7 linked regions of the Macaca mulatta genome follow. The protein of the gene in region 7 purifies or fractionates together with the protein of the main gene of each other region. This does not show direct contact. Links are inferred from orthologs where the notes say so. Each region holds a gene or a part of one and is shown on either strand. Other genes may lie near its edges.

Region 1 (3,500 bases), on a different chromosome or scaffold from region 7:
AGTCTGTGAACATGGGGTGTCTTTCTATTCATTTAGATTGTCTTTAATTTCTTTTAACATTGTCTTGTGAAGTAGAATTGTTTTCTTAATTTTTTTCTCATTCATTGCCAATGTATATTTTAATACAATTGAATTTTGTATATTGTTCATATATCCTGTGGCTTTGCTGCACTCATTTATTAGTGCTAAGAGGTTATTTTTGTGAATTTGGGATTTTCGGTATACTAGATGATATCATCTGCAAATGGAGATAACTTCACTGCTTTCTTTCCTGTCCTGATGCCTTTTATTTTCTTTTCTTTGCTAATTGCCCTGGCTAGAACTTCTAGTACAGTGTTCAGTAGAAGTGGTAAGAATGGATGTTATTGTTTTGTTCCTTTTCTTAAGACGGAGTTTTGCTCTTGTCACCCGAGTTGGAGTGCAGTTGCGTGATCTTGGCTCACTGACCTCCGCCTCCCGGGTTCAAGTGATTCTCCTGCTTCAGCCTCCCAAGTAACTGGGATTACAGGCGTGTGCCACCTTGCCCAGCTAATTTTGTATTGTTAGTAGAGACAGGGTTTCTCCATGTTGGTCAGGCTGGTCTTGAACTCCCAACCTCAGGTGATCTGCTCTCCTCAGCCTCCCAAAGTACTGGGATTACAGGTGTGTGCCACCTTGCCCGACTAATTTTTGTATTTTTAGTAGAGACAGGGTTTCACCATATTGACTAGGCTGGTCTCAGACTTCTGACCTCAGGTGATCCGCCTGGCTTGGCCTCCCAAAGTGCTGGGATTACATGCGTGAGCCACCGGCTTGGCCTCTTATCTTGTTTCTGAGTTTAGGGGAAAAGTATTTAGTCATTCACCATCAAGTATGATGTTAGCTGTGGGTTTTTCTTACACTTTGTCATGTTCAGTAAGTTCCCTTCTATTTTTAATTAGTTGAGTATTTTTATATGAATAGCTGAATTTTGTCATATCCTTTTTGTACATCTATTGAGATGATCAGGTGGTTTTTTGATTTTTCTAGATGCAGTTTGTTAGTGTTTTGTTGAGGGTTTTTGTGTGAAGGTACGTACCTAAGAGATACTGGTCTCTAGTTTTCTTGTGCCATTTGTCTGGTTTTAGTAGGAGGGCAGTAGACTTAATAAAGATGAGCTGCAAAGTGTTTCCCCTTCTCTTCTGTTCTTCTGTTTTTTGTTTTTTTGTTTTTAATTAGTTTTCAAGTTACGCTTGTTTCGCTAGGGAGCCTGCCCCCAGAGCTCCTCACACTACAGGTCTAGGAGTAGAACTGTACTTCACTGATTGTTAATTTTAGATTACTTCTGTATTTTAAATTATTCTTTTGGCATTCCTGTTACCATCATTTTTATGACCTCTCTGCACGCAAAACAAATGTTTCACCCTTAGAATGCTCTGATATTTTTCATCATTGTACCAATCCATTGGAAAAAGAATCTAAATTCTAATGTTCTGAATAATAGTGATCGCATTCCAAAATGTGGATGTTGTCTGTAATCTTGTACTTTATCCTTTTATTAAAATGTTTTATAAATGTTTGATGGCTTGGTGGTTCCGGGTAGCTAAGGTTACGCAAGCAGCAGCGTTGCAGTGTGACGTGGAGGGAGTACTGTGTATCCAGCACCTGCTGACTAAATTCCCTCTGCTCGACCCCAGCAGGACACCCTGACTTTTTAACACACTTGTTAGAACTCCAAAATGTCAGGCTCATAGTTTATATTTTAGTTCTGTATGGCTTTTGATAACGTTAATAGTACTGACTTGTCTTTTTCCTAGATAGCTGTAAACCACATGAGTGGAGTTTTTAATGACGCCAGATTCGTCTTTGTTTTAGAGTTGTTGCCTGCAATCTCTATCCCTTTGTGAAGACAGTGGCTTCTCCAGGTGTAACTGTTGAGGAGGCTGTGGAGCAAATTGACATTGGTAAGTCAGAAAAACCATTTTAGAAGACTGAGAGAGGAGAGAATTATTTAAATTTTAGTGAGATTTCATTTTGACTTTCATTACTGAGGAAATAGAAAATAACTGCTTCTGGATTGTGTTTTGGGATTACTATAATTCATTTATATTTTCTTTTTTCATTTATATTTTCTTTTTTTATTTTTTTTGAGACGGAGTCTGGCTCTGTTGCCCAAGCTGGAGGGCAGTGGCATGATCTCGGCTCACTGCAAGCTCCGCCTCCCGGGTTCACGCCATTCTCCTGCCTCAGTCCCCCGAGTAGCTGGAACTATAGGCGCCCGCCAGCATGCCCGGCTAATTTTTTGTAGTTTGTTTAGTAGAGATGGGGTTTCACCGTGTTAGCCAGGATGGTCTCTATCTCCTGACCTCGTGATCCGCCTGCCTTGGCCTCCCAAAGTGCTGGGATTACAGGCATGAGCCACTGCGCCCGGCCTCATTTATATTTTCTAAGCTATTTTTTGTGTGCAGAGATTCATCTGGGTAATTTTCCTGATTTTTTTTCTCTTTTTTTTTTTTTTTTTGAGACGGAGTCTTGCTTTGCCCCCCAGGCTGGAGTGCAGTGGTGCAATTTCGGCTCACTGCAACCTCTGCCTCCCAGGCTCAAGTGATTATCCTGCCTCAGCCTCCTGAGTAGCTGGGATTACAAGTGCACACCACCAAGCCCAGCTAATTTTTTTTTTTTATTTTTAGTAGAGACGGGGTTTTGCCATGTTGGCCAGGCTGGTCTCGAGCTCCTGACCTCAGGTGATCCATCTGCCTCAGCCTCCCAAAGTGCTGGGATTCCAGGCGTGAGCCACCGTGCCCAGCTTATTTTCCTGATTTTTAAGTCAAGAATTAAAATGGAAGTACATGCACAATGACTTTATTTCAAAGAGGTTCATAAGCTGATAGGGACATACAAAAATCATTATGTCTTTTGTTCTTCAAAGGTGGAGTAACCTTACTGAGAGCTGCAGCCAAAAACCATGCTCGAGTGACAGTAGTGTGTGAACCAGAGGACTATGTGGCAGTGTCCACGGAGATGCAGAGCTCCGAGAGTAAGGACACCTCCTTGGAGACTAGACGCCAGTTAGCTTTGAAGGTGGGATGCACTGTCATGATATTGTGAGTTATATCCATGGAGTGCAGCATTTGCCAGACCAGTCAGTATTCAATTCTTGGTAGATTGCATCACCTACCAAAGCTCTGCGTGGGGTTGCTGTCCTTTTGTTAAAAATTGAGAGACCAGCTATTACAGAGGTATTCTGTCACAAAGATTGAAAGAGGGCCGGCGCGGTGGTTCACACCTGCAATCCCAGCACTTTGGGAGGCCGAGGCTGGCAGATCACCTGAGATCAGGAGTTCGAGACCAGCCTGGCCAACGTGGTGAAACCCCGTCTCTACTAAAAATACAAAGATTAGCTGGGTGTGGTGGTGTATGCCTGTAATCCCAACTACTCGGGAGACTGAGGCAGGAGAATCGCTTGAACCCAGGAGGTGGAAGGTGCAGTGAGCCGAGATCACACCACTGCACTCTAGCCTGGGTGGCAGAGTGAGACTTTG
Region 2 (3,500 bases), on a different chromosome or scaffold from region 7:
TCACAGCACTTAAAACACCCTGCTGTGCCCCAAAATGAAATCCTTTGCAGAGTCGGTGATGCTATGGATTACAAGCCTGGTTCCAGAGCTATTTAGAAAAAAGGAAAACTTTGCGCCCTCCTCTTGACTCCTTGAGCAAACCCAACATCCTGTAAAAAACTCAAGATCCCGGGGGTATCATGATACTCTGCTGTTAAGGAGCAATTGCCTTCCTTCCCTAAGGCTACGCAAACACACCGTTCCACAAGTACACGCCCATGCACGCACACACTCTCACGCAGTTTCTCTGAGGAGGCTGACTCAACCCCCCACCCTGGCCAAATTCTAAGACACAAGTGCCCTTTGAAGCAAAGGGGCTAGTGAAATTCCCCGAGCTGGGGTCGGCAGACCCGTTCCTTCCCTGCCCATTGCTCTCTTCGTGGCAGGGATACTCACACTCAGGGCCGCCATGGGAAGGGTCTGCTCTGGGGCTGTCCCTCCCGCCACCAGCTCCGTTTATCTTGTCCCAGCCAGTCTCTCGGCATGGTCGAGCTTGCTGGAGCGAGAAGATTTCCGGCTGCCCTGAGTCGGAGCCCTCCACTCACCCCCATTCCCAGGCTTGGCCCCCAGCCTTGGGGCCTCGACACTTGTTAGTAGCCATGAGAGAGTCAGTCTGTGTGGCCCCAGGAAGTAGCCTCTCAGTTTTAGTTCTCCTCAATCAAATTCAAGTCCAGGTCCCCAAAGTCCTGCTGGCACAGTGTCCGCTTGCTCAGCGCCTGCCGACCCCACCGCACAGCCCCCTCCTCCTCCTCTTCGCTTTCACTCAGCACCTGGGAGGAACCCCCAGTGGGGCTGCAGGAAGCAGAGAGGGGTGGGGGGCTACAGGCCATGAACCACGGTGGAGAGATGCTGCTGCCTTCCCGGGCTGTTTCTTGGAGACAGAGACCTCCTGAGTATGGTTTCTGTCAAACAAACAAAGAAGACAGTTACACCTGAAGGCAAGAATTCTAAGGCTTTAGGGTAAGGTTTGTAAACATTCTTTTTTTTTTTTTTGAGACGGAGTCTCGCTTTGTCACCCAGGCTGGAATGCAGTGGCATGATCTTGGCTCACTGCAAGCTTCGCCTCCTGGGTTCACGCCATTCTCCTGCCTCAGCCTCCTGAGTAGCTGGGACTACAGGCACCCGCCACCATGCCCAGCTAATTTTTTGTATTTTTAGTAGAGACGGGGTTTCACCGTGTTAACCAGGATGGTCTCGATCTCCTGACTTCAAGATCTGCCCGCCTTGGCCTCCCAAAGTGCTGGGATTACAGGTGTGATTTGTAAACTTTCTGACAAAATTTGGCGCCCATTATTTCCATTGGATTCAAGAATAGAAGCTCTGTGAGGGCAAGAACATCATCTGCAGTGTTTCACTACTCTGTACTGCCAGTGCCTAGTCAGAGTCAGTAAATATTTGCAGATGGGATGGACGACTCTATGAAAAAGTTAAATCAATTCTTTTTTTTTTTTTTTTTTTGAGACGGAGTCTTGCTCTGTCGCCCAGGCTGGGGTGCAGTGGCCGGATCTCAGCTCACTGCAAGCTCCGCCTCCCAGGTTTAGGCCATTCTCCTACCTTAGCCTCCCGAGTAGCTGGGACTACAGGTGCCCGCCAACCCGCCTGGCTAGTTTTTTTGCATTTTTTAGTAGAGACGGGGTTTCACTGTGTTAGCCAGGATGGTCTCGATCTCCTGACCTTGTGATCTGCCCGTCTCGGCCACCCAAAGTGCTGGGATTACAGGCTTGAGCCACCGAGCCCGGCCTAAATCAATTCTTAAAGAGGTTTGTAACCCAGTGGTCTAGAAAGAATAATATGAAAAGAGTGAGCAAGTGCATACATACAATAACTATACTCAAACCAGGAAGTCAAAAAACATTGGTCTAACAAATGAATACACTGTAGCAGCCCATCTTGCTTCAGCCTTCACAGAACCACTTTGAAGCAGTGACAGGCAAGTGGCAAAACCAGCTTTGGGCACAAGGAGTAGGTACTGATGATGAAATTTTTTGCAGCTTATGCATTCTTGGAAAGGAGGGAAAGTACCTCTTGCAAGACAATTTGGGATCCCTGTTGGAAGGTTTAACATGGGTCTCACCCCAGTTTCTCTAACTCCCAGGATTAAGGCATTTCACAGGATGGGGGGACTTTCAGTACTAAAACTGGGACAGTCCCAGCCAAGCTGGGATGGTAGGTCACCCTGAGAGCTAAAGGAGGTGCTGTTGGTGGCGGAGGGGAGATGGGAGCGGCAGGGTAATGAAGCTAGGGGCTAGCTCAAAAGCGGAAACAGAACAGAGTCCCCACACTCCCATGCAAGCTCCTCTAGTCTTGTTGGTCCCACCTGATTCATCTTGTCAAAGTCCAAGGAAGGCCGCAGACGCCGGGGGTCCTCCTCGTGGCGCCGCTTGACCCCAGTTTTGCGGGCATCCAGATCACAAGGCTGTGAGCGGCTTCGGGGAAGGTTGCGGAGACCTCGAGGTCGCCAGGGCAGCTCTGGTGAGGATGCAGGAGAGCTCCGGGCAGAGGGCAAGAAGCGGCTTGCCTGCGGGCCCAGGCTGGGTGACAAGGAGAAGCGGCGCTGAGGTGGGCAAGGTGACAAGGACTCAGCATCACTCTCCCAGGAGCCACTTTGAGGGGAGGCAGCGCAGGGTCGAGAGGAATCTTGGGCCAGGGCCAGGCTGAAGAAAGGAGGGCTATAGGGTCTGTGGGCTGGGACACATTGAGAAGAGGCACTGGGAGCTTGGAGGAACCTGAGGCTGGAGACCCGCTTCGGGGGGCTCTGGTGAGGCACCTGCGGCCCACCCCCTCCACCACTGCCCCGGTGCTTGATGGGAGTCCACAGCTTGGAGGGGGCGGGCCGCCACACTGGCTGCCAGCGAGACAGGTCCACGGGCACTGAGAGTGAGCGGCAGTGCCTCTTGGATGGAGGGGCAGGGGGCACAGGAAGCTTCTCTGGGTCTGGGGGCTCAGGTCTTAGGACTTGGGAGAGGGGCTGCTCCTTGGGGGAGCTTCCCCGACTGGGTGGTCTGAGGTGCAGGCTCAGGCCTGAGGGATGGTAGCTGAAGTTGAGGCTGTCCTGGAACTCAGCACAGGAACAGTGGGGCAGGCCCCTCCAGGAAGCACCTTCTGGAAGGCATTTGTAATAAAAATAATATTAATGATAGCTTACATTTTTTAAGAACTTACCACGTGCCACACAATGTATGGAGCATTTTATGTGAAAATTTCCAAAAACTTTATGAGGTAGGTAGTATCATTATCATTATCTCCATTTCACAGATAAGAGAAATTCAGTAACTTTCCCAAAATCACACAGCAATCAAAAGACCAAAGGAGGGGCCGGGTGCGGTGGCTCAAGCCTGTAATCCCAGCACTTTGGGAGGCCGAGACGGGCGGATCACTAGGTCAGGAGATCGAGACCATCCTGGCGAACACGGTGAAACCCCGTCTCTACTAAAAAATACAAAAAAAAAAACTAGCCGGGC
Region 3 (4,055 bases), on a different chromosome or scaffold from region 7:
CTGGGAGTACGGGTGTGAGCCACCGCACCTGGCCTACATTGTGTTTCTTTTTTTTTTTTTTTTTTTTTTTTTGAGACGGAGTCTCGCTCTGTCACCCAGGCTGGAGTGCAGTGGCTGGATCTCAGCTCACTGCAAGCTCCGCCTCCCGGGTTCACGCCATTCTCCTGGCTCAGCCTCCCGAGTAGCTGGGACTACAGGCGCCTGCCACCTCGCCCGGCTAGTTTTTTGTATTTTTTAGTAGAGACGGGGTTTCACCATGTTAGTCAGGATGGTCTCGATCTCCTGACCTCGTGATCCGCCTGTCTTGGCCTCCCAAAGTGCTGGGATTACAGGCTTGAGCCACCATGCTCGGCTACATTGTGTTTCTAATGAGGAAGTGTGTGTGTATGTGTCACTGTATTTCTGGGAGGGTGCGTGTGTGTATTGTGGGTTTTTTTGTTTTTTTTTTTTAATGGAGTCTCACTCTGTCGCCCGCCCAGGCTGGATTGCAAGTGGCATGACCTTGGCTTACTGCAACCTCCGCCTCCCGGGTTCAAGCAATTCTTCTGCCTCAGCCTCCCGAGTAGCTGGGACTACAGGCATGTGCCACCACCCCGGTTAATTTTTTTTTTTTTTTGTATTTTTAGTAGAGACGGGGTTTCACCATGTTGGCCAGGCTAGTCTCAAACTCCTGGCCTCAAGTCATCTGCCCGCCTCGGCCTCCCAAAGTGCTGGGATTACAGGTGTGAGCCGCTACACCTGGCCCCATGTTGTATTGGAGAGAAGGGAGAGTGCGTGTGTGTGTCAAATTGTATTTTGGAGAGGAAAATGTGTATGTTGCATTGTGTATTTAAGAAGGGAGGGTGCAGGTGTGTGAGGTGTGTTTCTGAGGAGTGTGTTTGTGTGTCTGTGAGGACCTCAGGGTCACCACCAGCTAAGTTTCTGTGACTGTCACCCACATACAACCACATGAAGTCCCATAGAGGGGGGGCCCCCGCCCACTATGAGCTGGGCTTCAGACTCTCAGCTGTCACATGGCCAGTGTGACATCCCTGGACCACACCTATCACACGTGTGTCCCAACAGGCCCTGGGCTGGCTGAGCCTGTCTGATGGAGGAGGGCAGAGCCCCTGTTCCCCCAGGGTCCATCTGCTGCCTGGGAGCCAACACATGGCCCCGTCCTCACTCCCCCCAGCCTAGAGGCCTCCTGGGCTTCCGCGGGCCCTGGCCCTGGCCCTGGCCCCGGCCCCGGCCCCGGCCCCGGCCCCGGCCCCTCAGCCCTCTCCTCCCACCCCACCTACCCCACCCACCCCCAGTGGTCTGACTGGTTCCCAACAAAAACACCCTAAGAATGAGCTCACGCAGAGGCTGCCGCCTCCACACGCCCCGCCCCACTCGTCTGGCAGAGGAGGGTGCCTCTGGTCCCAGGTCGGGAGCTCTGGGCCAGGGGATCCAGGGGCCTTGGGGTGGGGAAGGCTGGCCAGGTGAGCTGAGAGCAAATGGGGGACCCCAGGCTAGCTGTTTGCCCTCTCTTGGTTAATTACACATAGGATTTGGGAACTGTCCCCCGGGCAGAACCCTGGGTTGGGAGGACAGACAAAGGTAGACTAGACTGTTCCAGATGAGAGCTGGCTGGGATGGGTGTGGAGACTGGGATGGAGACGGTGTGGAGGCAGAGGGCTGGCCAGGATGGGTGGAGCAGGGAAGAGCCAAGATGGGGAGAAGTTAGGGGTCCTGATGGCCATTATGGGAATAGAGGGTAGGGGCCAACTGACTGGCCTGGGCAATGATTTCCCAAACCCCTCACCATTGCACCCCAGGAGCAGCAATGTCTGTGCAGGTGGTGGCTCCCGGAAGTGCGGGGCTGGGCCCAGAGCGCCTGAGCCCTGAGGAGCTGGTACGGCAGACGCGGCAAGTGGTCCAGGGGCTGGAGGCGCTGCGGGCAGAGCACCGTGGCCTGGCTGGGCACCTGGCAGAGGCCCTGGCGGGACAGGGCCCAGTGACTGGCTTGGAGATGCTGGAGGAAAAGCAGCAGGTGGTGAGCCACTCGCTGGAGGCCATCGAGCTGGGGCTGGGCGAGGCCCAGGTATGAGGGGGCCAGGTGGGGAACTGGGAGAGGATAAACTGAGGGCGGAGGGAGGGCCAGATATGAGGGGGACAGGTATGCAGGGGACTGGGAGAGGGGTTCGCTATTGCTGAGGGGCACACTTTGGGAGGCTGAGGTGGGCAGATCACTTGAAGTCAGGAGTTCAAGACCAGCCTGACCAACATGGCAAAACCCCATCTCTACTAAAAATACAAAAATGAGCTGGGCATGAGGCTCCTGTAATCCCAGCTACTCGGGAGGCTGAGGCATGAGAATCACTTGAAACTGGGAGGTGGAGGTTGCAGTGAGTGGAGATCGTGCCATTCCACTCCAGTCTGGGTGACAGAGACTGTTTCAAAAAACAGCAAAAAAAAGTATGGCAGAAAGGCATATCTGGGGCAGGCGGAAGCCTAGGGGAACGAGGCCTGGGAAGGTGAGGCTCCAGGCCAGAGATGGAGTCCCTTGGCAGTTCTAGGGGGTCCTTGTATGTGACAGGGACCCCTGAACCAGATGGCATTCTTCAGTAAACTGTGGGTCCTAGGGCAACTTCAGGGGTGAAATCAGAGGGGCTGCTTAGAGCCTCTGAGGGCACTGGAGCCACGCTGGTGGAGTCTCTGCAGAATCTGGGGGTGTCGTACATAGTAGTGGGGTGCAGCGGCCTGATTCGAGGTCTGAGCTGGGTCAGAGGCTGTCTGGCAGGGTAGGAACCAACCTCGACTTGGGACCCACACCCTGGGCAGGTGCTGCTGGCCTTGTCGGCACACGTGGGTGCACTGGAGGCAGAGAAGCAGCGGCTGCGCTCGCAGGCCCGGCGGCTGGCCCAGGAGAACGTGTGGCTGCGGGAGGAACTGGAGGAGACACAGCGGCGGCTTCGGGCCAGCGAGGAGGCCGTGGCCCAGTTGGAGGAGGAAAAGCGCCACCTGGAGTTCCTGGGGCAGCTGCGACAGTACGACCCGCCCACGGAGACCCAGGTGCCACGGGCAGGGCAAGGTGGGGGTGCTGGGCCCTTCACAGAGCCCCACGGTTCCCCAGACCCTCCTTAGAATCCCAGTCCCCCAACCCTCCACAGAGCCCCCAGACCCACCAGAACTTCCGCAGACGCCCCCACTAGCTGCTCCCCGAAGCCCCCGGGCCTCGCCAGTCCCCCAGGGGGCCCCTGACGCTCATGATCACCACCTCCCTCAAACCCCGAGATAGATGCAGGGCTCCAGTCTCTGAAACAAGCCCCCCTCCCCCGGCCCCCCACTTTCCTGTCCCTGCAGCAGTCTGAGTCCCCGCCTCGCCGAGACAGCCTGGCCTCCTTGTTCCCCAGCGAGGAGGAGGAGAGGAAAGGTGGGTATCGGGAGTACATGCCACAGATGATGGCGGGCCAGGGTGGGGAGCGGGCTCTGAGCTGCAGAACCCCAAAATCTCTGAACAGGGATGGGGAGGTGAGGGCAGGGTCAGGAGGACCCTGAATGTGACAGTGAGCAGGTGAGGCTGGGAGCTGCGAAGACAGGGTAGCTGCCATGAGCCCGGCAGGCCCCGTATTCACATCTTGCAGGGCAAGTGAGCTGCCATGTACCTGTCCCGAGGCCAGGATGCATCCCACCAGCTGGTTAGATGCTAGTGACTCCAATCTCAGAAGTTAACATGGGGGCCCATAGTCCCAGGGGCCAGTTAGGCAGTCTGGGGCGTGTGTCTCCTCGTGCGAGGATGGAGGGGCAGGAGGCTTAGGAGGCTTGCAGTGACCCAGAGCCCACCCTGCCCCACCCAGGTCCTGAGGCCGCAGGAGCAGCAGCAGCTCAGCAGGGTGGCTATGAGATCCCTGCCCGCCTTCGGACCCTGCATAACCTCGTGATCCAGTACGCGGGGCAGGGCCGGTATGAGGTGGCGGTGCCCCTGTGCCGCCAGGCCTTGGAGGACCTGGAGCGCAGCTCGGGCCACTGCCACCCTGACGTGGCCACCATGCTCAACATCCTGGCACTGGTATACCGGTGAGATGCGGCCG
Region 4 (4,204 bases), on a different chromosome or scaffold from region 7:
CGGCGGGAGCAGATGGTGCAGCCAGTCTGGATTGAGGTGGCCAGATCGGCCGGTTCGAGGCCCCAGAACATTTCAGAAGCAGCTAGTAAGAAGCAGATTTACTGGAGCGACATCTCTGAGAAGGAAAGGTATCAATACAGGCAAGGAAAGGAAGCCGTCCAGGAAGAGGTTTGCAACCACTACTTTTTCTAATGGGATTGATGTGCCTGTAGGAGTTAACACCCACAAGCTGAAACTTGGACCCGAAGATTCAGCTAGTGACGACACAACATGCTCCTGCGACAGACTGGAAACCACACATCCAACCCCTCCTCTGGACACTGCGTCCCAAACACCCCCCCACACACACCTCTCACTCCACCTACAGCGCCCGCATCAGACCCCCACTACGGTAAACTCTACTCCAAAGTTGGCTGCAGACCTACCTTCTCGGCGCTGTCCTGAGAATCCAGCAAATGTACTCCAGTCCGTTCGCCCTTCCCTCGCCGGCGTCCCCTGCCCCCTCTCCTCACCTGGCCATGCCCTAGGCCTCTGGGAGCCTCCTTCCCCCCTCCGGGCCGTCCCCAGGTGCCCCTGCTACAGGAGTCAAAGAGAACACCCAAAGCCTCACAGTGAAGGCTCCCCCTGCCAACCCCTTGCCCTGGAGCCCGCAGGCGCGCTCCGACGAATCCGAGGGCGCGTCTCGCGCTGCGCAGGAGGCCCGGCGGGTCCTGCCGCCAGCCCGGGGTGGGTACGCACCTTCCAGCCGGCAGAGCTGTTGCTGTCGCCCTTATCCTTGAAGTAGGGCACGCAACGCACCATCCACTCGTAGATCTGGGACAGAGTGAGCCGTTTGTCCGGGGAGCTTTCGATGGCGCGGGTGATCAGGTCCGCGTAGGACAGGTTTCCCCAGGCGTTCCGCCGCGACGAGCATTTCCTCGGCTGCCCGGAGCCCCCAGCCGCCCCCGGCTGCGGCGGTGGCAGCGGCTGCTGAGGCTGCAGCAGCGCCTGTGTACCCCCGCTCAGAGCGCCCGCCGCGGTGGCTGGCCCAGACCCGGGGTCTTGCCCTCCGGGTGCCAGCACCCGGGCCGAGTCCTCAAGGAGCAGCCCGGAGCCCAGCGTGCCGCTCCCGCCGCCGCCGATCGCCATGGCCGAGCCGGCCCGTCCCCCGCCGTCCTCGTCGTCTTCATCGTCGTCCTCCTCGGGGATCATGGAGTCGGCGGCCGTCTCCCCCGAGGGCTTAGCAGGGCTCGCTTGGAGCTCCGGCCTTTGCAGGGGCCACGTACAGGAGCGCGGACGGCTCTGGGGCTCGAACTCCGGGTCCAGCTCCACTTCCAGCGGAGAGAGCGGGGCCGGGGAGGCCGGTGCCTCTGCCATCTTCGCCGCCCGCCCGCGGCTGGGGCTCTCGCGCTCTCCTCTCGCGCCGGGGCGGGGTGCGGCGGGGGAGGGACGTGGGCGCCGCGAAGGCTCCGGCTCCCGGGCGCCGCCGCCGCCGCCTGGGGAAGCACCAGAGGAGAGAGAAGGAGAGTTGGTTATCCCGGGCCGGAGCGCAGTCCTCGGCGAGTCCTCGCCCGCCGCCACTACCTCCCAGCCTTGCCGCGCCCGCCTCCCAGGAACAGGCGGACCTGGAGACGTGCGGCCAGCGAACCTGGCGCAGCAGACACCGCCCCCTGGCCAGGCCGCGGGGGAGCCGCGAGCGAATCGACGGCCTCGCGCGGGGCAGCCCCCTCCCCCCGCGGCCCGCCGCAGGTCCCTCCCGGGCTAGGCGGCGGGGCGGGGAGAAGGGGGAGGGGCGCCCGGGGGAGGGGCGGCCGCGCCTTTAAAGCGGGCAGCGGCCGGAGCTGGCGCAGCCGAGCGGCGGTCAGAGCCCGAGCTCGGGCGTGCGTGCGTTTGTTTATGTTTCGCTCGGGCCCGCTCTAGTGCCTTCCGCGGCGCCGCCGCTCAAGTCTGTGCTGTCTTCGGCTCTTCTCCCCTTTCCCGGCCCAGCTGCCTCCGCGACCCCCCGTCACCCCTAACCCGGTCGAATGGCCCGAGCCCGGGGACTGCGCGGGCAGCTCCCTCTCCTCTCTTCGTCCGCGGGGCGGAGGGCGAACGGGGGTCTGGGCGCAGATGGGCCCTTGTCACTTCCAAAAAATAAAGGAAACACGGAAAGAAGGGGAAGGAGCAGCCCGGCGGGCGTTCGCAGAGGGTCGAGCCCGGCAGGGACGGCCACTTCGGGATTTTGTGTGGTTTGCATTCTCGCGGACGTCGTCCCCTCCGCCCCCTTCCCAGTCGGGATCCGGGGGAGGGAGCGAGTCGGAACATAAATCTTCCAACAGGTCGGGAAGCGCCAAGTCTCCCGGGCTGCTAGAAAACCCGGACCAGCATGTTCATCACCTCCTTGCTCCCGCTGCTGCCATCTTGACAGTTTCCCCCTTCCCTTGAGTCCTTTAAAAACACTAGCGGGCGAGAAGGGGGGCGCGCACACCGCGGCTCGGGGAGGGGAAAGGGAAGCGCCCGGCCCAGCTCGGAAGCAGATCCGGAGTCACCGGGAAGGCGGCCGCCCGCTGCACGGCTCCGGCGCCTACCTCGCTTCCTTCCCTTCAGGGACGCGGCGGGACGACGCACGATCCCGCGCGGGCCCGGGGCACGGCGAGGAGGGGGCGCGCAACCTCGGCGAAGGAGGAGCGCTCGGGCCGTCGCCGCAGCCCGCCCGAGGAACCGCCTGTCAGCTCGCGCGCCGCCGCCTTCCACATTCCTCCTCCTCCCTTCCACGAGCAGGGCGGCCGCAGCAGCAGCACAAAGTTATAGACACACGCAGGGCGCCTCAACCTAAGCTGACGGCGGGCGGGCGGGCGGGTCCCCGCCCAGGGGGAGGGCTGGGCGGCGGGCTGGGCGCGCGGCGGGCGTGTGTGTGTGAGTGCGCGTGTGTGAGCTCGCGCGCGCCTGCGCGGGCCAGCTCCGCGGGGCTGCGGGCGTGGGTGTCCGGGAGCGCGCCGTGAGCCGGGATTCGGCGGGCTCCCGCTGCTGTCCCCGCTGGGCTCCTCCTCCCTCCCGAGAGCCCCAACGACAACAAAGCGCGGCGTTGGCCCGGGAGAGGAGGGAGAGGAAAGAGAAGCGGGAGCTGCAGGAGCGACAGCCTCCGACGCTCCAAGGAGCGCAGCGGCGTGGCCTCCCCGACTCCGGGCAGGGCGCCTGGTACCAGGGTCCCCGACCTGCGCGTCCGCCCGCCGGGCTCTGGGCCAGCCCAGGTGTCCGGTTCCCTGTTAGAACCCGACACTAGGTAACACCCGAGGTGAGATGCTGGGCGTGGATGGCAAGGTTTACCGCGGCGTGGAAATACTGAATGGCGAAGATGTTGGCGCCTGCACAACTTCGATAAGCTGATGCTCACAGATTCGATCAGGCACCAAAAGGTTTGCACTGAATCTCTCGCCTCGGACGGTGGACCACAGTCGTGTTTCACTTTTCATGTGTTTCATGGCAAACGGGGGAGAGGTGTAACTAACTCCGAAGAAATGCAAATTTACCCCTGTCCTACATTCAAGAGCAGATTCCGAACAATTGAGAAGGAGAAATAATTTTAATCTAATTTGTAAATGACGACAAAACCGCTACGTGTGCATTTTTGACTTTAAAAAAAAATACGTATCCTTTAGGTTAAACAAAAAACATCTGCACAAGTCCTTTTTCTACGATCCGTGCCCCAAATCGTTTATTTGTACTCTACGAATGCACTACACGCGACATGCACACCAAAAGTCTAGACACTAGTTCATAAATATCTTTTTTTAAAAAATCCTTGTAAGTCACCAGAGATAGCTCAGAGTCTAGAAGCGGGCTCCTCAACGACCCCATATACAAAAAGGTCCAGCCCAGCGTACACAGGAGCCAGCCCGCCCCGCCGCCTCCGGGCTCCGGGCTTTGCGCAGCTCCCGTCACTCAAGTGACGCGCGGCCCCGCCCCTGCACCAAGCTAGTTCGACGCGTACAAACAGATGATGTCATCGTCTCCACACGCGCGTGACCCCGGAGCTCTCCGCCGCGTCGCCATTCGCTGCGCGGCTTACTCGTCAAGGCACGCCGCGTGCTTACTGGCCGCGGCTACCAGTCTCCAGGCCCCAGACGCCCCTCTCCGCCCCCCGCCCCCGCCCCCCAGCAAATAATAAACAATCGAGTAAAATTCTAAGGAAGGAGAGAGAGGAGAGGGAAAAAGGGAAAGGGCGCACTAGAAACCAATCCTTCGC
Region 5 (4,052 bases), on a different chromosome or scaffold from region 7:
ACTTTTTTCACAGTGACCTACTTTAAAAAAAAAGAACAGAAATATCTCCAAAACTGGAGATTTTGTCTTTGACTTATATTTGCTGCCTTCTCACGAAGGTGACTTAACGGTAACAAAAGGCATATGGCTTTTTCTTTTGACAACCACAAAAGCACTTACCAAATCTGTTTCAGGATTCTCACATTCAGGACAGAGAACAAATTTTTTAATGAATCCATCCAACATGTCTTGCAGCTTATTCGCCTCATGAGATCCATTGACAATGTAACGGTCATTCTTAACATCAAACTGGGTCTGTGCTCCCAGCTCACAACCAAAATATTTGGTGGGATCTATTTGAATGAAAGAGGAATTTGGATCGTTAGTTAACTAAATCTTTGGTTATTCACCCACATTTATACCCACACTTTATTTTTTTTTTTTGAGATGGAGTCTGTCACCCAGGCTGGAGTGCAACAGCATGGTCTCAGCTCCCCACAACCTCGGCCTCCTGGGTTCAAGTGATTCTCCTGCCTCAGCCTCCTGAGCAGCTGGGACTACAGGGCATGCCACCATGCCTGGCTAATTTTTGTATTATTAGTAGATTCAGCGTTTCACTATGTTGGCTAGGTTGGTCTAGAACTCCTGACCTCGTGATTCGCCTGCCTCAGCCTTCCAAAGTGCTGGGGGTTACAGGTGTGAACCACCGCACCCGGCCATCCACTTTAATTAAATGTGTTCCCCTGGTAGTTTTGTGAACTCATGGCAACCAATAAACCACGGTACCTCACTAACTTGCAAGCTAATTAGCCAGCATACAATTAGAACAAGTTTTGCAGCTCAACTACTTTGAGGTCTCTATCCCATAATATGCCCTTTATGAACTTTTCCAAGATTTACTTACACGTTGGAGGCCGATTAAGCGCCTTTGCAACGTCAACCATGTTGACTATAACTGTCTTGATTCCATTTCCTTTGCCCTCGACCTAAAGGAAATAAGAATTTTAATTGTGCAGTTTCCCCTGACAGATGCAAACTCCAAAATTCTACAAAAAGAGTTATCAACTAAATTGAAGAGTAGTTTATTACCTTGGCAATCAGACGGGGCATCTTGTAGCGATAGAACTGGTCTGACACGCTGCGGTTGACATTGACAGACATTTTGGCTTATTAGTGGCTTTATCAATAAGATGAAGAGATCTTTGATTGCAACTTTTTGGTATCTTCTGTCTGGAGAAGAAGGGATGACATAAACGACTGCAAGAGTTCTCGGTCTCTGACATGAAAAAATTTTCGCCACTGAGGCTGTAAGCTTCTTGCTTGTATGCTATGTTTCCCCAATACAGGTACCAATGGCTGCGCAACAGCTCTGAAAAAGAAAGGGAAAGAACACACAAAAATCCCCCCAGGTTTAACATCATCGCTGGATGGAAACACCTCCTTTTACATCCTAGTAATGCTTCTGCTTAATTCCACTTTAAAAACCATCTGAGATCACAAGCAGTCATTCTCACGTCACACAGTACAACCTGCGGGAACATAAAAGGCCTCCATTTCGACTAAGCTGTGACTCTGGTAGGGAAATGCCTGATAAGAAAACAGAAGCTGCGCTGCCTCAGCCGCCGTGAGTTTCCATCAGACCGACAGCAATCAGCAGGTTTGCCTCTGCGGCCATCCTAGAAGTGCTGAAGAACGAACCCGAACCCTCTCCGCCCCCACCCGGCCTGGATCAGGAAACTTCTCAGGCACACCCCCCTTCGCCATCATTTTTAAGGGGTAACTAGGAAACTATTCTCTACCACTAATTGTTGCTTCGGCAACCATGGCTTACTTCAAAGCAGCACTTCCTTAGAAGCAGTGCTCGCCCAAAAGTGCCATTAAGCAAGGGAGGCTCGGCCCGGCCTCCCTTTTCCTCGCTATTCAAACACTCGGTTAACCTTCGACCCGGTCCCCATGGCTACGGCGCTCCGAGGCGTTTCCGCGGGGGCTGGCGAGCCGGACACCTCCGCGAAGGAGGGCGGCGCGCGACCCGAGCGTCTGGCCCCATCCCCAGCGCGTCCCCCGGGAGCCGGCGGGCCCCGGAGGGTGCGCAGCCGGGAAGCGACACCCAGCCGAGGGGTGCCGGGGCTCGGGCCGCCCCCGCCAGGAGCGCGCGATGACTCACAAATGCAGCAGCTGAAGCCTGACTCAGCCCGAGCGGCGGGCACGCGCGACGCGCTCCCGCCAGGCCGGGGAGGGGGCGACGCCAGGCCGGGGAGCGCGCGGGGAGGGGGCGGCCGGTGCCCGAGCCCGCGCCCGCCCGCCGTCCGCCCAAACTGCGCCACACGCCGCGGCGGGGTCACGCGGCGGCCGCCGCCATCTTGTGCGGCCGCCATCTCCTGGTCCGCCGCGCCCGCGACTCACCGTTTTCGTCAAATAAAGACATAAACCCAACGCTGCTCGCCCGGGACTGGGATGAAGAGAGGCGCGATTTAAACCCGAGTCCGAGTCCAAGGAGGCGGAGGCGAAGCGCAGCGAGGAGCGGCCGGGCCAGGTGCCGCCGCCGAGCAGCGGGGAGGGGCTGTCCCAGCGACGTCCGCGGTCCACACCCGTCAGCGCCGGAGCCTGGCGACCTGGCGCGGAGAGACGGCGCCGTGAGCCGCGGGCGGGTCGGGGGGTGCGCCTTCCCCGCCAGCCAGCGGCCCGCGGGGTCGAGGGGGCGGGGAGCACCGGGCAGGGGGCGCGGGGCCGCCGCCCCACCACCGGACTCACCTCTGGAATGTTCTCGCTCTGACTGAACAACGCCGCCGCCGCGCTCAAGCTACCCTCGGCCCCAGCGTCCGCCCCCCGCGTCAGGCCTCACTGCCCATTGGCTGGAGGTCTGCCACAGTTCGCTCGTCATTGGCTCGCTTGCGACGTCAATCGCGTCCTTCCGCGCCCCTTCTGCTTCCTGAGGCTCCACTCGCGGCTTCGGCCCGCCTCCAGCCCCGGCCCCGCTTCCTTCCTCTCCCTTCCCCCCGCTTTTCCCAGAGGTCTTCGCGTCGCAGTGTTCGGGTCTCGCGAGAGCCGGAGTGTCCCTGGTGGCGGGGCCGGTGTGCCGGGCTCCGTGCCTTGTCGCTTTGGGCTTTGCGGGGAACATGGCGGTTGGTCTCCTCCCCCGCCGGGTGTGGGCCAGGCCGCGGCGTCGCAGCGACTCCCGGGACGCAGGAGCCATCGTCCTCGAAACCGCTCTCGAGGCCGTGTTATTGCGGCCGCCACCTTCGGGGAGAGGAACCCTACCGCGTTCTCTCCGCGGTGGGCGCTCGTCTCCCTTCCCCGTCCTCCCGGGACGCCCGTCTCCGGGCCTCGAGCAATAGTTGTTTTTCCACCCTAAACCCAGGCTTGGGTCTTTCATCCCAGGGCTGTCTTCTGTTTTGGACTCGGGGTGGATTGGCCGCTGGCGGAACGAGCCAGTCACTGCCCAGGGCGGTCGCGAGACCGCGCCGCCTCGGTGCCGGCCCGCACCCCAGCCTGCGCGCTTAGCTCAGCGCGTCGCCTCCCGTTTTCGGAAGAGCAGGCCCTTAATTGGTTTGGAATCCCGGGGCCTCCTGAAGGCGCTTCGTGGTGGGTTCCCACCTTCTGGTGAAGGCCTCCCTGCGCTCCCAGGCTTGAAAAGCGCTGTGCTTCGTGCTTCTCTGTCACCTTGCTCCTAGTGGGCATCACCTCGGGTCCACCCCTCCAGTTTATGACTTGTGAATTCCTTGACAGGCAAATCGTAGCCCAGAGCAGGCGTTTATAATGAGATTCCAATGTATTCTGTTGAAAATTATTATTATTTAGGCCGGTCGCGGTGGCTCAAGTCTGTAATTCCAGCACTTTGGGAGGGCTGAGGTGGGCGGATCACCTGAGGTCAGGAATTTGAGACCAGCCTGGCCAATATGGTGGAACCCCGTCTCTACTAAAAATACAAAAAATCAGCTGGGCGTGGTGGCGCGCTTGTAATCCCAGCTACTCGGGAGGCTGAGGCAGGAGAATCCTTGAACCTGGGAGGCACAGGTTGCAGTGAGCCGAGATCACACCACTGCACTCCAGCCTGGACAACAGAGTGAGACTGT
Region 6 (3,500 bases), on a different chromosome or scaffold from region 7:
CCTGAGCTCTTTTGGTATATGATACAGCAGGAGGAATGGATGGACCAGCTATAATTTAAAAAAAAAAAATAGCATAATGAGCTGAAAAACAACTGATTTATTTTCTGCTCACAAACAAAAACTCTGTATTAAAATTATCCACATTTGCATGCTTTAAACTCTGAACGAAGATTAAATTGTGATTTCAAAAATCAGGTCAGTCCCTGTAAAAGGGATTATATTTATAATTCAGTAATATAAGTCTGTGAGAACTAGATGACACAAGTACATAGATACGTGAATGTACAATGCTTTAAAAACACAAGTTTAGGTAGAACCCGTGTGTTGTTTCACTTATTTGACTTTTTCCCCTACCATGATCACTGAAACGCCGCTGCTTCTGATTTGCTGAGATACTTCTCTGGACCTTCAGGTGAGCAGGGGACTGAAGAGTGCTGTTGTTTAAGTCACTACTGGGCCGGGACCTCTGACACAAGTTTCCACTGGATAATGATTCACCACCTTCAAACTATAAGAAGAAAAACCACAAGGATTTTAAAGCAAAAAAAAAAAAAAAAAAAAAAAAAAAAAGTTTGCACAAATACTGCACTTTTGATTTTCTAAATGATTTAAAGTTATATAAGAAGTAATCCAAACTGAAAAAACAGTGTAGTATTGGGCCTAGAACTTTAAGTTGGCAAGCAGGAAAAGGAGTGAACTGGATAGAATATGCTTTAGTGACTACTCATAATCTTCTATTATCTTGTACAAATCCTTAGTTTAGTCAAAATACCAAAGAACAGCTACCAATTATTGAATGGTTATTATAGACTAGGCACTGTGCTAAGCTCTTTCTATATGTTACTTTATTTAATCATCACAACAAACCTATGATGTATTAACCTACACTTTACAGATGGAAAAACTGAGGTTAAAAAAGTTAAGGGGCATTATTGAGATTCAAACTTAAAATAAAATCTAAAATTTTAAATATACACACATGTATATACACATATGTATGCATATAAACATACATATAGATTTGTTTGTTTTGTTTTCTCCACATTTGCAAAAAAAAAAAAAAAATACAGTTTACTGTTTCTGATCAGGAAACCGTATCTACTTAGAACTCAGCATGGTAAACTGCGGGTTGACACACTATCCCTCTCTCTGTAACATACAAGTTGTTTGCTGCCAGCAAACTTTTGATGGCCTCACTGGCATCCCAATAGGAAATCTAAATTCATATACAGATAATACTAGTGATAAATCGCAGAGTAATACTGATGATGATAAACAGCTAATGCAGAGCACATAATAATCCGCTAGAAACTGTTCCGAGTTTTTAAGCCCATAATAATCCACTAGAAACTGTTCCGAGTTTATAAGTGCTCATTCATTTAACACTTTCAATGATCCTAAAAGATAAGCACTATTATTGCCCTCATTTTATAGATAAGAAAACTGAGGCACAGAAAATTAATTGCCTTAGTTGCACAGTTAGTGGTTGTGCTGGGATAGGGCAGGGGTTGGGGGGACTTAGATCCAGTGAAGCTGGCTCCAAAGTTCAGGCTCTTACTACTTACCAGTAGCCTCATCCATTTATATTTGATACAATTCACACTTCATTTAAATTCATGCATGGTACGGTTATATACTTATAAAATTAGTGCTTCTTTTATATTTAAATTAACAGGAAAATTAAAGACCTCAGGAGTGTACTTTAAAATCTAAGTAGAAACAGTTCAAAGCCTTTAGAAATAACCATTTGTACTATTTCCCACTTAAAATTCTCTTGACTTGGCTTCTTTGATACCACATCTCTAGCTGTTAATGTCTCCACTAAAGATTCTCTTCCATTATAATAGTACCCACCTGGTAGGTTCACTGGGAGGATTAGATTAATTAATATTTGCAAAGTCCTTAGAACAGTCCCTGGCACATTACTATGTGCAATGTGTTCCCCTCTAATGAAGACTCCAAATCTGTTAATTATTCAAATCTCTCCCCCTAATTCAGATCTATATATCCAAATGCCTAATAGACAGCTCCATCCAACAGAATCTCAAATTTAACCATCCCAAATTGAACTTCTTCTCTTCCCCCTGAAATCTGTACCTTTCCTATCTTGGCAAATGTGCTTGCACAGTCATCCATATTGGAAATCTCATGGGCTCTTATCTCTTATTTCTAACTGGTCCCCAAGTACTACTGTTAATTCTACTTCTTACATGTCACACAGACCTGCCTTGGTGGGTCTGACCTTAGCCTACTGTAGGTACATGTCCACCTATATGCTCCCAGAGTATGCTGTGCATCCCCCAAATGAGAACACATACTGTACCATACTATTAACTGCTCGCCTCACCTCTAGACCAAGGGCTCCTTGAGAGCAGAGACTTTCTCGTCTTTCTATTCACAGTACCCAGCATCGTTTCTGGTACAATAAAGGTTCAATATATGCCAGCTGGAATGCACTGCTCCATTAACAGTTACTATGGAATTATAAATAATTTCAGCTTTTTGTCTCTAAAATACCTCCCACAGATGTCTAATTTCCAATAAATTGTTAATGTCCTGCAATCTGTTCTTGACTCTCCATGTATAGCCTTTATATTTGTTTTGCTAAAGAATCATTTGCTTTTATGCTTCATGATACGGTTTGGACGCTCTGTCCCCTCCAAATCTCATGTTGAAGTGTGACCTCCAATGTTGGAGTGGGCCTAGAGGGAGGTATTTGAGTCAAGAAGGTGGACCCTTCATGAATGGCCTGGTGCTGTCCTCATGGTAACAAGCTCTCCCTCTTTGTGTTCACGCTAGATCTGGTTATTTAAAAGAGCGTGGCACCTCCCCCACCTCTCACCTGCTCCCTCTTGCCATGTGACATGCTGGCTCCCCCTCACCTTCCATCATGTCTGTAAGCTTCCTGAGGCTCTTATCAGAAGCAGATGCCAACACTATGCTTTGTGTACAGCCTGCAGTACTGTGAGTCAAATAAGCTTCTTTTCTTTATAAATTACCCAGTCTCAGGTACTTCTTTATAGCAATGCAAAACTGACTAACATAGTTCACCATTTGTATACAGTTATTTTCTGAGTATATCTCCTTATTATAGTTCTCCTGGCCTTGAGAATTCCCAACTGAAAGCATCAGTCACTTGACACTTTATAAGGCAAAATGTCATCACATAACCTTTCCTGGAGTTACCTCTTTTAACAATCCTTTAAGACATACATTTTATTTTAAATGCTATCACTTCCTCACGTTTCAGTCACTGTCTTTTCTGCACACCTGGAATAACCATATTACCTTTGGTGGGACTGTTACATTTGGATGCACAAGCTGTGGGGGAGGCCATTCTCAAAGGCTAGGCTGTGAATGGTGGCTCCTGGAGCTAAGAAAGACAGTAGGCCTATTCTTTCATAAAATCTGTCTTGGTACCCAGAAATAAAACCAGTTTGTAATTTAACATTGTGATTTTTGAGTTCCAACAAATAAGAATGTTAGAGTAGGATCTTTAT
Region 7 (4,198 bases):
GTCCTTTTCCTGAATACAGCTTAGCTCTTCCTCCCGTACCATTAAATAATCCATATAAATTGATTCCAACGCCCCAGGATAGAATTAAATGAGGGTACATGTAAGTTTAGGCATTAATTCAACACAGCAAGCAAAATAAAATAGGCCTACTGCAGTTAACAGAAAGATAAAAGAGCAGCTGGAAAACCAGCATTTGGGTACAAGTATCCAACAAAGAAATCCTGCTAATATACTGTCTTACCTTCTTCCACCACCGACACCTGCTAAATTCTGTTTGGTGACCAGGACTCCGGCAACACTTCGTCCCAGAAACAAAAAAATATTGCACTCAATAAAGGAATGGACACAGGCAGAGGACACAGGTAGAAATTCCTGGTGTCTGTCTCCTTCTCCTCCTCTCCTTTCTACTGAATCCCTACCATATGCCCCAAGTCACAGGAATAGCTCCTCACCTTGCAGATTCTATTTCCTTACCCCTTTAGATCCTGAAGGGGACACCTAACATTAACAACTGTAAGGATGTGGCTTTATCAGAGTCCTATGTTCAATAACCAGTAAGGGCTCTGGTCAGAAATCTTCACCACTCACATCAAAAATATAATTATCACTAACCTGTCATTTAATTGGAAACTACAATCATAAGCTTTCAAATCGGTTTTTTAAAGGAGCTTTCAAAAAAAAGACCTTCTCTCACATCCTTTCTAGTTATCACAGCAAGTTTACTCAGAGCTCCAATGCCCACAAAACAGAAAGCATTCAAGTATAATTTGTTTCCTCCCAAGAACACTAATAGATGAAGAGGGGAACATCTGGAGATGAGGAGCGGAGGAGGAGACTTCCAATACAAGCACATCTTTATCTGTTTGATTTTTAAACACTGAAATAAAGACAAAGCTGACCTTGAGCTGTACTTCCCCACCTAATCCCCCTCCCTCTCCCAACAGGAATCTTGTTCAATACAAATAGCAATTTAACAATTTACAAGACGAAATTTAGTTTAGTATTATTCCAAATTTGACTTCTAGAGGCCTTGTCTTATTTTCAAATCCCTGAATCCTCGTTTCTGATAAGGGGGAGTAGCCCTGAGGTTATCCACATGACTAAATCTGCATTTCCAGGAAAGCAACGGCCCTACATAACATTTTGAAATACAGGTAGCTTAATCAGGAAAAATCTAAGGATCAAAGATACTTGATTCCAACCATGTCTCATCCCACCCTACCACACAAAAGCATTAAAACCACAGGACCCACATACATGACTTTTCCTTTAATACTACAGTATCGCACAATTATAAATGTGAGGGTATTTCAAAAGGTGGACTGGGAGGGAGGACTAAGAATAAACTTCCTGACAATGACTAGACAGACACAATGGATATTTTGATAAAGTTATGAAAAAGGACTGGAGAACCCGTTATGGGCAAAGGAACAACGAACAAAGAGGAACTACTAAAATTTCTACATAAACCCATTTATTTGAAATGGAAAAAAAGAAAGCAACAGGATCTCCAACCTTCATAACTCAAAAACCCCAGCCTCAGCCGAGTGCCTGGAATAGGTTAAGCTCCCCCACGAAGTACAGACCAGCATTCCGAGCCTGCAGAGTCAACCAAAATACAGTGACTGAACACTATTGGAAATAACTTTATTTCAACAGGTCTTTCCATGTGTCATGATGGTGCGCACAAACTGTAAAGTCATCGTTTTTACAAACGGGTGGACTGAGGCTCGGGCCCTACAAAGGCTCGAACTCTCAGAGTCGTGGCCTCCTGGTCTCCTGCTTCTATCCATCAGAACCCACTGGTGATGCAGTCAGAGAAAGGTTACAGGAACTTCGAGGTCTCCCGTTTTAAGTCTGAGGAAAGGGGAGGGAGTGAGGGTTTTCTGGGCCTCCCCAGCAGGCGGCGAGGAGGAAAAGCCCCAAACCCCCTCACTACGAGGTGCCGGCCCACGGGAGAGAAACCCGATCGCAGCGTCGGCGCCTGCCACCGCCCCAGACGAACCGCAGTGATTCCCGCTCACCCCTCTCCCCCCACCATCACCCGGGACTGTCCCCCGCCTCAGGCCTGAGGAAGCCCATCGCTCTGAAGGCTTCTCCTTTGTGAGACTCCACGGCCGCCGCCCCACACGGGGCCTCCGGGGAAAAGCCACCGCCCCCACCCGCCATATTTCCCTGAAAGGCGCCCGCGCTACAGCTCCCGGTCTCCGCTCTCTCCCATGTGGCGGGTGCTGCTTCCCCCGTCACCGCACCCAATTGTTCTCCACATCCCAAGACCGTCCCAGAAGCTCCCCTGAGGGCTGCTCGTTCGGAGACAGCACCCGCCATCTCCTCCCCCTCCCCCGCCCCGAGACTCGCCCTCCCCCCAGCCGCCATTTTACAACCAACTCCTCCACCCCGTCTCCCCGGCCTCCCGGCCCGCGAGTTGTTTGCAGTTAAGGACGGCGAAGGGGTCACATTCCAAGGCATACAGCCTCCCATTGCCCCGGGAGCTCCCAGGCCATTTCCTGCTTCCCGAACCCAAGCCCCCGGGCCAGGCTCGCAGACGATGCCGCCATTTTGTCTCCTGTTCCCGGCCTCTGTGGGCGGCGGCAGAGGGTCCGAGAATTCCAGCCCCCCGCTGCCCCCCCAACTCACCGTCGTATCGCTCAGCCTGCTCGGCCAGCTTCGCCTGGTACACCAGATCCTCTCGATCATCCATAGCGGCAGCGGCTCCGGCAGGGTATGCGCGACGGATGGAAGCGGATAGTGTCTCCGACTCTCTCAGCCTCTCGCTCCGCGTCCGGGCAGCAAAAATGGCGGCGCCTCAATCCGGGACTTCCGCCTGCGCACGCGGACAACTGCTCAGCTCTATGGCAACCGCTCCCTGGCAACTGGCGCGGGGGGCGGGTCCTGGAACTCGACGCCCGAAGAGGCTGGAACCAGCGCAGGAGACGCTCCTCCTCCGTCGGCTCAGCGGGCGCCGGAGCCCAGAGGCGGGAACTGCGACTGCTGAGAGGGAGCGGCCCCCGGGGAACGGGAAGGGCTGAGGCGGGGCCGGCCGGGACTGCTCCTGAAAAAAGCCGGCGGGAGACCTGGGCCCGAGGCCCGACCTGCGGAAGAGAACGACGGAGGCGCTAACGGTTTCTGTCATGGCAGGTCTTACTCCCCGAAAGCAGCGGCTGTCACTACCGTGTCCTGGTTTCCTTTTGTGTTTTTGTTTTTTTTTTGAGACGGAGTTTCGCTCTTGTTCCCCAGGCTGGAGTGCAGTGGTGCGATCTCGGCTCAACACAACGTCTGCCTCCCGGGTTCAAGTGATTCTCCTGCCTCAGCCTCCCGAGTAGCTGGGATTTCAGGCGCCCGCCACCAAGCCCAGCTACCTTTTGTATTTTTAATAGAGACGGGGTTTCACCATGTTGGTCAGGCTGGTCTCGAACTGCCGACTTCAAGGTGATCCGCCCACCTCGGCCTCCCAAAGCGCTGGGATTACAGGAGTGAGCCACCGCGCCCGGCCCGCGTCCTGGGTTTCTCCGCCACTCCTGGTCATGGGCCCATTTCAGACACTTTTACACTCAGGGTAACGAACTGGGCCCTGGCCGGGTGCAGTGGCTCACACCTGTAACCCCAGCACCTTGGGAGGCCAAGGCGGGCGGATCACAAGGTCAGGAGTTCGAGACCAGCCTGGCCAACATAGTGAAACCCCGTCTCTACTAAAAATACAAAAAATTAGCTGGGCGTGGTGGTACATGGCTGTAATCCCAGCTACTCAGGAGGCTAAGTCAGGAGAATCTCTTGAACCCGGGAGGCAGAGGTTACAGTGAGCTGAGATCCCCCCATTGCACTCCAGCCCAGGCGACAGTGCGAGACTGTCTCAAAAGAAAAAAATATATATATATATACACAAAAATTCGCTGGGTGTGGTGGTGCACCCCTGTAATCCCAGCTGCTTGGGAGGCTGAGGCAGGAGAATCTCTTGAACCAGGGAGTCGGAGGGTGCAGTGAACCAAGATCACACCATTGCACACCAGCCTGGGCAACAAGAGCACAACTCCATCTCAAAAAAAAAAGAACTGGGTCCTGTTGTAGCCAGGGACAGGGGAGCTCCAGTTGTCAGGCATCAACTTTCCCCTCACACTGATCTTTTTCTTCTCCTCCTATTTAACCTTTTTTCCTCCCTAGGCCCACCATGAATAGGAGCAGGGAATTTGTTAGATGAGGA

Evidence for each region.
Region 1: the proteins of YWHAE (region 7) and ATIC fractionate together in Homo sapiens (co-fractionation; 3 studies listed by BioGRID). This does not show direct contact. The link is inferred for Macaca mulatta from reciprocal best matches to the Homo sapiens genes YWHAE and ATIC.
Region 2: the proteins of YWHAE (region 7) and FAM53C purify together in Homo sapiens (affinity purification with mass spectrometry; 3 studies listed by BioGRID and IntAct, with this or other methods). This does not show direct contact. The link is inferred for Macaca mulatta from reciprocal best matches to the Homo sapiens genes YWHAE and FAM53C.
Region 3: the proteins of YWHAE (region 7) and KLC3 purify together in Homo sapiens (affinity purification with mass spectrometry; 3 studies listed by BioGRID and IntAct, with this or other methods). This does not show direct contact. The link is inferred for Macaca mulatta from reciprocal best matches to the Homo sapiens genes YWHAE and KLC3.
Region 4: the proteins of YWHAE (region 7) and FOXO3 purify together in Homo sapiens (affinity purification with mass spectrometry; 4 studies listed by BioGRID and IntAct, with this or other methods). This does not show direct contact. The link is inferred for Macaca mulatta from reciprocal best matches to the Homo sapiens genes YWHAE and FOXO3.
Region 5: the proteins of YWHAE (region 7) and EIF5 purify together in Homo sapiens (affinity purification with mass spectrometry; 3 studies listed by BioGRID and IntAct, with this or other methods). This does not show direct contact. The link is inferred for Macaca mulatta from reciprocal best matches to the Homo sapiens genes YWHAE and EIF5.
Region 6: the proteins of YWHAE (region 7) and MARK1 purify together in Homo sapiens (affinity purification with mass spectrometry; 3 studies listed by BioGRID and IntAct, with this or other methods). This does not show direct contact. The link is inferred for Macaca mulatta from reciprocal best matches to the Homo sapiens genes YWHAE and MARK1.

Annotation. Positions count from the first base shown.
Region 1 is NC_133417.1:120,529,082-120,532,581, forward strand, and holds part of ATIC (bifunctional purine biosynthesis protein ATIC), read left to right. Parts: intron 1-1,833; coding exon 1,834-1,922; intron 1,923-2,887; coding exon 2,888-3,039; intron 3,040-3,500. UniProt on the Homo sapiens protein: Bifunctional enzyme that catalyzes the last two steps of purine biosynthesis.
Region 2 is NC_133411.1:147,210,230-147,213,729, reverse strand, and holds part of FAM53C (protein FAM53C), read right to left. Parts: intron 3,142-3,500; coding exon 2,357-3,141; intron 942-2,356; coding exon 684-941; 3' UTR 1-683.
Region 3 is NC_133424.1:57,866,622-57,870,676, forward strand, and holds the start of KLC3 (kinesin light chain 3), read left to right. Parts: upstream 1-1,255; 5' UTR 1,256-1,330; coding exon 1,331-1,463; intron 1,464-1,799; coding exon 1,800-2,065; intron 2,066-2,805; coding exon 2,806-3,036; intron 3,037-3,327; coding exon 3,328-3,397; intron 3,398-3,821; coding exon 3,822-4,041; intron 4,042-4,055. UniProt on the Homo sapiens protein: Kinesin is a microtubule-associated force-producing protein that may play a role in organelle transport. Plays a role during spermiogenesis in the development of the sperm tail midpiece and in the normal function of spermatozoa.
Region 4 is NC_133409.1:13,664,492-13,668,695, reverse strand, and holds the start of FOXO3 (forkhead box protein O3), read right to left. Parts: upstream 2,801-4,204; 5' UTR 2,547-2,800; intron 1,476-2,546; 5' UTR 1,357-1,475; coding exon 739-1,356; intron 1-738. UniProt on the Homo sapiens protein: Transcriptional activator that recognizes and binds to the DNA sequence 5'-[AG]TAAA[TC]A-3' and regulates different processes, such as apoptosis and autophagy.
Region 5 is NC_133412.1:176,739,776-176,743,827, reverse strand, and holds the start of EIF5 (eukaryotic translation initiation factor 5), read right to left. Parts: upstream 2,801-4,052; 5' UTR 2,731-2,800; intron 2,594-2,730; exon of another isoform or gene 2,592-2,593; 5' UTR 2,383-2,591; exon of another isoform or gene 1,349-2,382; 5' UTR 1,141-1,348; coding exon 1,069-1,140; intron 966-1,068; coding exon 884-965; intron 333-883; coding exon 160-332; intron 1-159.
Region 6 is NC_133406.1:78,453,310-78,456,809, reverse strand, and holds part of MARK1 (serine/threonine-protein kinase MARK1), read right to left. Parts: intron 509-3,500; coding exon 355-508; intron 49-354; coding exon 1-48. UniProt on the Homo sapiens protein: Serine/threonine-protein kinase. Involved in cell polarity and microtubule dynamics regulation. Phosphorylates DCX, MAP2 and MAP4. Phosphorylates the microtubule-associated protein MAPT/TAU.
Region 7 is NC_133421.1:2,944,593-2,948,790, forward strand, and holds the start of YWHAE (14-3-3 protein epsilon), read right to left. Parts: upstream 2,801-4,198; 5' UTR 2,702-2,800; coding exon 2,638-2,701; intron 1-2,637. UniProt on the Homo sapiens protein: Adapter protein implicated in the regulation of a large spectrum of both general and specialized signaling pathways. Binds to a large number of partners, usually by recognition of a phosphoserine or phosphothreonine motif.